Caenorhabditis elegans: one gene and its partner. The protein of the gene in region 2 interacts with the protein of the main gene of each other region in a pairwise test. Each region holds a gene or a part of one and is shown on either strand. Other genes may lie near its edges.

What was found.
Region 1: the proteins of ceh-20 (region 2) and unc-62 interact in binary tests that used the Caenorhabditis elegans proteins (3 or more experiments, as listed by UniProt).

The regions. Positions count from the first base shown.
Region 1 is NC_003283.11:4,495,501-4,500,607, forward strand, and holds the start of unc-62 (Homeobox protein unc-62), read left to right. Parts: upstream 1-1,962; 5' UTR 1,963-1,966; coding exon 1,967-2,089; intron 2,090-3,829; exon of another isoform or gene 3,830-4,295; coding exon of another isoform or gene 4,296-4,307; intron 4,308-5,107. UniProt on the Caenorhabditis elegans protein: Acts redundantly with ceh-20 and ceh-40 to perform overlapping roles during embryogenesis.
Region 2 is NC_003281.10:6,977,781-6,982,419, forward strand, and holds ceh-20 (Homeobox protein ceh-20), read left to right. Parts: upstream 1-2,103; 5' UTR 2,104-2,106; coding exon 2,107-2,198; intron 2,199-2,389; coding exon 2,390-2,672; intron 2,673-2,794; coding exon 2,795-3,121; intron 3,122-3,381; coding exon 3,382-3,642; intron 3,643-3,692; coding exon 3,693-3,746; 3' UTR 3,747-4,005; downstream 4,006-4,639. UniProt on the Caenorhabditis elegans protein: Transcription factor that binds to the 5'-TGATNNAT(G/T)(G/A)-3' PBC/Hox lineage enhancer region of sem-2 to promote cell fate specification in the postembryonic mesoderm (also known as the M lineage).

The DNA of each region.
Region 1 (5,107 bases), on a different chromosome or scaffold from region 2:
GGTATTTGGGGAGCCAGGCGAGAGAATCGAAATAGAAGCGAAGAGCAGGGGAGCAAGAGCATCGATTGCGATACGATGCGTGGAAGAAAAAACCACTGATAACTTTTTTTTTCGAATAATGTTCGGCGCACGTAGCAAAGAGCACACCGTAAGCTTATCAGTTTATACGTCAGCCTCGTTGAGCAAAGATCTGCCTAGGTTTTTGAGTATGACTATGGAGAAGAAAAAGTAGATCAGATTGGGAAACAAAATGGCAAAACTATGTACAAATGAATCAAATTTTGTTAGCCTCTAAATTAGCTTTTTTTTATTCACTCTATTTTAGAGACTTATATCTAAGTTGTCCTTAGTCTTATTAAAAAATGTTTTACTGTAAAAATGTAGAAAAATATTTGCACAAATTTTGTCAGTTGAAAATTTTTTTTACAAGCCCTAATGGGATCGAGTTATAAGCCGTCAAAGTGGAGCAAAAAGAGGCAAGGCGGATAGAGCAGTAGCTCTTTTGCATAGAAACAGTAGCTATATTGAAAATGGAAAGCTTGTAAAAAATTGGTTTAAAAATTTGTTAGCCTCATAATTTTGGCCTTTAATTTAGGCCTTTGATTAATCTTTTGAGCTGAGCCTATTACTCTAGAATTTTTGAAACAACTCAATTCTGTCAATTCAAGCAACAAAAGCACCACACGCTACCTTCCAGGAAATCTGAAATCTATAGGTTAATCTTCTTCCCGTGTCTACCATGTTACCAAACAAAGAAAAACAGTCTGAAACTTTATCCCACTTGACACCTCCTACCCCTCCTCTTCCATATGATCCTAATCTTAATCCCCTTAGAACAAAAGGCGACGTTAATAAAGTGCAGCTGGAGTATAAGTAGATGAGGGAAACGGGGGATGTGGTGCATTGAAGGGAAAAAATGTTGAAACTTTTGTATTTTAATGTTAGCATCTCTATGTCTCTACTCTCTGATTATTGATAAGGAAAATGTGTCAAAAAATGACTGTGCTCTCTGGAAGAGGCGAAAGGTTGCGATATTTTATTACATTCATAGGTGCACATTTAGTTGACAATCTGGAAAGTGTAGTTTCAGAAGGATCTTGTTTAATTAATTAATTTTTTGTGGAAACTTGGAAATAGCTGACTAGGTTTGGTAGAGCTTTTTTGATTCCTGATAATGAATTTGAAAAATTAGGACATTGTCCGCAATTTCCTTAGTAGGCTTGCACCCGTCTTGCTCCACTTTAACAGCTTCTATCTCAGCTCTCTTTGATTTTATCAGAAAAATTTTAACTGACAAAATATGCGCAAAATGTTTTTCTATATTTTACCAGTTAAACATTTTTTGATCCAATCAAAAGCAACAGAGATATAGGCCGTCAAAATAGTTTCTCACATTTTCGGTGGAGCAAATTTCTTTCAGAAACCGAACTCACTTTTAGATTTTTTTTTAATTTCCAAACTAGTCACATTTCCTCAGCTCATGCTCATTCACATGACAAAAAACTTCCGGTGAAACTGGCGGTATAATGAAACTTTTTTTTCAGTCTCATACCGTACATTACATAAACCTTATCAAATAAAAAGAAACTAGTTCCAATCTTCATTCTTTCCACTTTATTTTTCCTTAGCACTTACATTTTTTTTGTTCGAATTTCAAAAATATAATGAGAACAGCTTTGTGCACCTAGTGGGGGCAAAAACGAACAAAAGCAATTTATCTTCAATGCGGAGGACATTGGACACAGGACAGCAGCATGTAAACTTGAATTTGCCCTCCTGGTTCATCTCTTGCGGAGCCTATTTATTATTTTTTTTTTCGAATCCATCCCTTTTTTTTTGGTGTGCTTTTTGTGCTTTCGGGCCACGAGGACCCATCTGCTGTTGCTCACGCACAGACTCTTTTGATAAATGATAATGAGTTTCACGTTTTCTTTTTCAAAATTTAATATTTCTCTCTTGCAGGAACATGAGCGGCGACTCAAAAGTGTGGGCTCACGCGTCCGCTGACACTTGGGCTGTTCAAAATGGAATTTCGACGTACGATTTGGACACGTCGAGCATCAAACGAGAGAAGCGGGATCACAATGAGGTAAAATTTAAGAATTGGTTGTTGTTTTAATTTGCGACTAAATTTCCTAATTAAATTGATTTCTGAAAATTGAAAAAATTTTTGCCGATTAAAAAATTCTTTAGGATCTTCACATTGTAGTTTAAGAAATTCAAAAATCAATTTTTAGAATTAAAAATAATTTTATAAATCGAGCTTTGAAGGGTTTTGTATTGTCTGAAACTTCAAAACTTTTGGAATTTCGGAAAAAAAAATGAAAAAAATGTTCAAAATGAACTGTAATTTTTCAGTTCTGTTACGATAAAATGCTTTCAGAAAATTGATAAAATCTATAAAATCAAAATTGTAAAAATTTTAGAGTTTCGAAATTGGTTTTTCATTGAAATATAAATTTCAAGAAACCGGGAAAAAATATTGTAATATTTCGCAAAAATTTGAAACATCACATTAAAGGCACACATTGTTTTTTTTTCTGAGTTGGTCTCGCCACAGGAGCTAAATTCAACAGATTTTTTTTCATTTGACATAGGAAAACAAATTTCAAATTCGGAAATCCACTAAAAATTCAGAATTTATTATGAAAAAAGTATATTAAAGGTGGAATAGCGCCAGTGGGAATTTTGTCTAAATACACTTATAATGATCCAAAACGACCGAATATTATAATAAAACACCCCACAAAATTTTAGCTTTTTCATAATTTCCGTTCAAACTTTTGCCAAATTGCCAAATTTTTGAAAAATATGAGCTTTCGAGGAAATCCAAAGCAATGTCGCATGTTTCGCCCCCTACAATGTTTCAACACGAATAATTAAAATAAGCTTAAAGTGTAAAAAATGTAGGAAAAAACTTTTTTTGGTCGACTTCCAAAATTATGAGTAACAAAAACTGAGTAATTGTCACTTTTTGACCGCAAATAAAAAAATTTAAGAAAATTTTTGATTGTTTTGATGTTTTTGTTTGATGTGTTTGTTTGATGATGTTTTATTACGATATTCGGTCATTTTGGGACCATAGGAGTGGTTTTTAACAATTTCCCCATTGGCGCTACTCCACCTTCAACAACTACCATAAAAATCTAAGAACATATTTTTTGGGTTTACAACCTACCAGTTAAAGTTCATAGAGCTAGTTCCACACATCCACGATATAATATGCAATTTAACAGCCGATGATCCGATTATCAATATCAACAGCATAAAAGCAATAACAAAATCCTGATAATTTTCACACAAATTGTCCGCCGCTTTTATCTTTTCTCTCCTCATTCTTCTTCGTCTCATCATCGCTCCCCCCCCCCCCCCCCCCCCCCCCACCGACCGATTTATCTCTTTTAATCACATTAATCATGTGTTTCTTATCGAGGGTGGAAAATTGGAAAATTGATAGGCGACATGGAATTTGGCTGCCAAGAATCGGGTACTACTTGGTAGAAAATGTAAATTTGTGTTAGCTGGAAAACCTGAGGTCCCCCACACTTGACTTTTTGCCTCGTCTCGCTAAAACAAAAAAAAGAGGAAAATGCAATGCATGTATTTTTTCGTCGTCGTCGTCGTCGTCGTTTTCTTCGTGTTTGACTTCTTCTACTCCTCTCCAAATTTGCCTTCTCACCCTCCTCTCACACCCGGGGTCTACTGTACCGAATTGAGTGCCTATTGGCGCAATAGGGCGGGGCCCCGGCGCATCGCTCTCTCTCTCACTCACTCCTTCTCTCGAGGGGGGCTAACAGGGGAAAATAGACTGAGAGAGAGAGGAGAAGGCAAGCGAGTCGATCTGCCCCCCGGTTGCCCGTTTCTCTCTCTTTCGGTGGTTTCTCGTATTTTTCCCCCACCAGGGAGAGTCAGAGAGAGGGAGCCCCGCCCACATTCACCCCACCAACCCTCCCCCCAACGATCGGACAAGATTGACATACAACCGTTTTGAAGTGTGTGAGAAGTTGTCATTTTCGATATTCATCTGTCTGTCATATTATTTACGTTCGTTCCATCATCATCGACATCACACGCAGGGCAGAGAAGAACACACGCCGCCACCGCCGGCCCATCAAATCGGCACACTAATCAATCGATCAACGAGAGAAGAAGAAGAAGGGGCGGGCGACAAGCTCTGACCATCATCGTGTGTGTGACAGACTGACTGACTGACACCCCGTTGTGGAAAGAGTTTTCGATCCCGACACGACCATCGTTCATCTTATTCAGCAAGGCCCCGTGTGTCGGCAACGACGATGGCGCAGAGGGTACTTCTTCTTCTTCTTCTCCTTCATTCCGTTTCCCCTCTGCTTCTTCTGACTTTGACATGATACCAGAAAGAGCGCCATCCCTTTTTCCTTTTCTCCTCTATAATTTATCGTTGTGTTGGGTGGTGGCTCGAGCTCATTCTTGGGTTTCCAATCAGCCATTGCGCCCCCCACCGCGCCGTCGCTGTCGCTTTTTTCCCGCTTTCTAGATCTCAAAATTGCAATTTTTAGGTGTTCGCCTTGTTTTAAGCGCTGGTTAGTTACAATATAGTTTCCCAAGCTTCAGAATATAGAAAAACTTGACCCCAAATACCTCGAAAAGTCGTATCTCTGCTCATCTCTAGAAAATCAGTGAATATAATACTTTAAAACTATAGTTCTAGAAAAAACAAATATTTTGTCAGCTTAGAACTTTTTGTTTTAACTGAAAATTACAATGAGCTGCCAAATTGAAGCTACGGTCTGCAAGACTAACAGTTGCACCCCATCGTCCAACTTTGACAGCTTATATCTCAGTTTTCGTTCATCCTATATAAAAATTGTCAACTGGCAAAATCCGTATTATTTCTTTTTCTATAATTTTGTAGTTGACTATTTATTTATATCTTCTAATTGAACCGTGATATAACTTTTCAAAGTGAGGTAGTGAGGTGGAATACTATCGACTTTTGCAAATCGTTAAAATAACACCAGTGAATATTTCAAAATATAAGTACTTATATTAAGCCCCTCATTCTTAAATTTTTCCTTGCATCGATTAGTTTTAGTTTTAGTTTCCGAAGCCAACACAAGAATCACAA
Region 2 (4,639 bases):
AATTTCACTATCTGACCTCAAAAACTAAATATGCAAATCAAATATTATATTTCAGTTCGACCGTTTTGACTATTTCAATGATCGATTCTAATGTGATGCATATCGATTTGAGGGTTGGAATGAAAACGAGCTCTTTTTATTGCTCCGTCACTCTCTTTTACTCTGTGATAAAATACCCTGTTACCATCATCATCAATTCACTTTTCTGTATGATACGGGCGCTAATAAATATTTTACAACATGCTTGATTTCCCACAGATTTCGTTTAAACATATATCATAACCATCAAATGGGATGTTCTACATGTAGAACAAATTATACTTTCTTCCAATAAATACAGAATTAAAAATTTCCTAAATAAATATGAACTGTTTTGGGATTTTTTACACTTATTTTCAAGGCTGCGATAAGAACGGTCAAACTTTCATAAAAAATTGAAATATCTGGAAAAGTGGAGATACAAGCAGTACTCAGTAATACCCTGAAGCTTATTTTATTTCCTAGTTAGGTGTTAAATATTTCTTAAGCTAAGAATTTCGTAAATCGATTTATTTATAAATCTAGCTATGTAAACATAGTCATGGAGATATGCCTACATTCCTACGCATTCGATGCAGCTGAGGGTTTGGCAGATTTCCTTTAACTTGATGATCGTAACCTTTTCAACTCCTTCGCAAAAAAATAGGGTAACCGTAAATGCATAAATCTACCCTTATCTAGGTACCATCAAATAGCTCACGCATAAGATAGGAATCTGACAATAGTATGAAAACATTACTGAGAAGCTTACTTTCGGTCTTCAGTGTAGAAACATAAATACCTTCCTTTGGGCCGTCTACGTCTAATTTGTCGTTAGGCCGTTACTCGGTATTCAAAACGAGTTACACCCACGGTAGGCACGCAGATGGGCCTTTCCGTAACTGAGTGGAAGATACTCGATTTAGCACTTAATTTACTGTATATTTTCTGATTCAAATTCTAGACCACTATGTATTTCTTCAACTCATCAATCATTCCCCGCTTCTCACTTTAAAAAAAAAATAATAATAACAATATGGTTGAGTTGACCCAAAGCCGTAACAACAACGGTCATTTCCATCGGCTGGCTGTGTGGTCGAGGGAAGGATCCATTACAATCGCAATAAATGCGGATTCAAAGCGCAAAATCCCTGCGTCTCCCTTCAATTGTTCAATGTCTAATAGTTCTTCTGGCAGATGATACGTCCTCACAACATCTGGCCTTTCCTTCCTTCCACTGCTACAAACACACATAGCAAAGGTCATCTCCTGATGTCTCTAGGTCTCTTCGAGTAAATGAAGAGGGTCTTTCTCTGTTGTTTCGAAGGAACCGCTACGCTGACACGCGACGCACGTCAAATGTCAACTTGTCTTCGTTCGACGTCTCCCCCCAACGTCGTTTTCGTGTATATCCATCTTTTTTCGAGACGTTTTTATTCCGTTTTTGCGGAAGGGTGTTGTTTTGAGTTATTGATCCCTTTGTTTTTCGACAAGAACCGTTTGATGTAAAAGTTAATATCAAGTGACAGATCCTGATGGATCCTGTCAGATTATGGTAGGATAGTATACTTTTTATAGTGAGTGAACTGACACTAGGTTGGCAAGAGTATACCTATCTACACATTTGCTCAAACAAAAATAACCTTACTACAATAATGGGAAGCGCTAGAAATTGTGCAACCACCGACCTAACACATCTTATTTTACGCACAATTTTGGCTCCATTACGGCCTGCCCAAATATTCGTGGTATAATAGAATCTATGTCTATTCCATACATTATGGCTATACTAAAATGTCGAAATAAGATTTTGAATTCTATTTTTTTAATCAAAAGTTATTTTACTATTCAGTTTTCACTTATCAAATGTTTATCATAATAAACTATCTTCAAATCTGACTTTCTTTGAAATTTCGATCCTACCACATGAGGCAATGTATTTTTGGGAAAATTCACACCAGATCTTCCGAACACCTACTAATTCAAGGTCATTTCCTCTTCTTTGTTTCTAAATTTCTCCTTCAAAACTTTCAGTTTTTAATTCAAATTTTTAACTTTTTTTTAGAATCTAATTATTAATTTCAGAAAATGGTGGGGACACACCCAGCCAATCTCAGCGAGCTTTTAGACGCCGTCTTGAAAATAAATGAGCAAACTTTGGATGATAATGACAGTGCAAAGTGAGTTTTTTGTTTTTAGTTTTTGAGATTTGGTTTTTGAAAGAAATTCAGAAGACGAGCCATAATTTTTGGAGATCTAGAAAGTTGTTTTCAATTTTAGTAATAGTTTGTGAAAATATTCAAAAATGATAAAATTTTTGAGAACATCTCCACAGTATATTTTCCAAAACCTAAAATTTTATTTCTTTCAGAAAACAAGAGCTACAATGTCATCCCATGCGTCAAGCCCTATTCGATGTTCTCTGTGAAACAAAAGAAAAAACAGTACTGACAGTTCGTAATCAAGTGGACGAAACTCCAGAAGATCCTCAATTAATGCGACTTGATAATATGTTAGTGGCGGAAGGCGTTGCAGGACCAGATAAAGGAGGTTCATTAGGAAGTGATGCAAGTGGAGGTGATCAGGCTGATTATAGACAAAAGCTTCACCAGATTCGAGTTTTGTACAATGAAGAGCTGAGAAAGTATGAGGAGGTACGCTATTTTCAAAAGCAAAAACTCAGATCTGACTCAACATTGTTTAATTGAAATTTAGTTTTTTTTGTGAGTGTTCGCGAAAAAAAAGGTCCGAATAAAAACTAAAAATATTTTTTCAGGCTTGTAACGAATTCACGCAACACGTGAGGTCTCTGCTGAAGGATCAATCACAAGTTCGCCCAATAGCACATAAGGAAATCGAACGAATGGTTTATATAATCCAACGAAAATTCAATGGAATTCAAGTTCAACTCAAACAATCCACATGTGAGGCCGTCATGATCCTCAGAAGCAGGTTCCTTGATGCCCGCCGTAAACGGCGAAACTTTTCGAAACAAGCGACAGAAGTGCTTAATGAATATTTCTATGGACACCTCTCAAATCCATACCCATCAGAAGAAGCAAAAGAAGATCTCGCAAGGCAGTGCAATATTACAGTATCTCAGGTATCATTATAAAATTTATTCGTTTTTTTTGCATAGTACCTATCGAAGGCTCTATATAATAAGTCTTGCTCAAATTTTTTAGAATAGCTATTAATAGTTCTATTCATTTCGGACGTAATGAAACTATGAATTATTCTGAATGTTCACAACTTTGTCATATTTTTTGTGGCAGTCGAAAATGATAATGAAAATGTTTAGAAAATAATTTTTTAAAAACATTGTCACACCTTAAACTTTTTTTTCAAAATGTTCACTTTCAGGTTTCCAATTGGTTTGGAAATAAACGAATTCGCTACAAGAAAAATATGGCAAAAGCTCAAGAGGAAGCCAGTATGTATGCTGCCAAAAAGAATGCTCATGTAACATTAGGAGGTATGGCTGGAAATCCATACGGAATGCTTCCTGGTGCTGCAGCCGCTGCTGGCCTATTAAATCCCTACAATCCTATGAATATTCCCGGACAAGACACATTGCATATGGGAATGCCACCCTTTGATTTATCGGTATATAATCCACAATTGGTGAGTACTATTAGTCTTTACAGTTTCAATTTTAAATACTCTCTTTCCAGATGGCCGCAGCTCAATACCAACAACAAATGGACAATGCTGATAAAAATTCATAAATAATACTCAGCCAGTTGGTAATATTGAAATCTCAACCAATCATCCCATCTACCATCACACAATCTTGCTTTCTTCTCAATCGAATTCCCGATCAATCTCGTTCTGGTTATTCTGTTAGACCATCGACTTTTTTGTATTTTTCTTTCCAACCAGCTTGTCCTTTCTTGAATTTTTTACTTGCACAGACACACCCACCTGTTTTCAGATCTCTTCTTGGCATGAGTTTTGGAGCATTGATAATAAATTTAATTGAATTTTTTTAAAACACAATAATAACAATTTTGCAAAAAAAGGTTTCACGATATATTCAACCAAGTTCTACCGTACACTTACAGAAACTCACAAAATATTAATAATAAAAAACTGTGGCGAGAAAATTTTAAGCGTGTTGGAAAATACTCGGCTTCCAGTGAAAAACGACGTTTTCCGGTGAAATGAAAATTGCTAGTTTCCTTCTTACTATTGAGTATTCTTTTTTTTCTTTTTTTTTAAACACATATATTTTTGTCAGATGTTCTCTATTTTTTAAATTTCAACTTTTGATAAAAAAAAATTACAGGAAGTGTTTCTAATGGGATGATGCAAGTGAATTTCTCGTCATTTCTCGACAATTTTTTTGCAATGCAAGTGTGCGGAGAAATGACGAGAAATGACGTGAAATTCGCAATTTCTCCGCATTTCTCGACATCCACACATACCGTAGTTGGTGACGTTGTTGGCGGCAAATCGCGGCGAGACCCGCTGTGTCGATTTACGAGGATATAGCTAATGTTAGTTTTTCCCAATAAACTTGGTTTTTCTGTCGTTCTTGTTCAATTTTCGTGATCTTTTCGCAGTTTTTACTCTTTTTCATGTATATTTATTGAATTCAATATTGTACTTTTCAATTCTC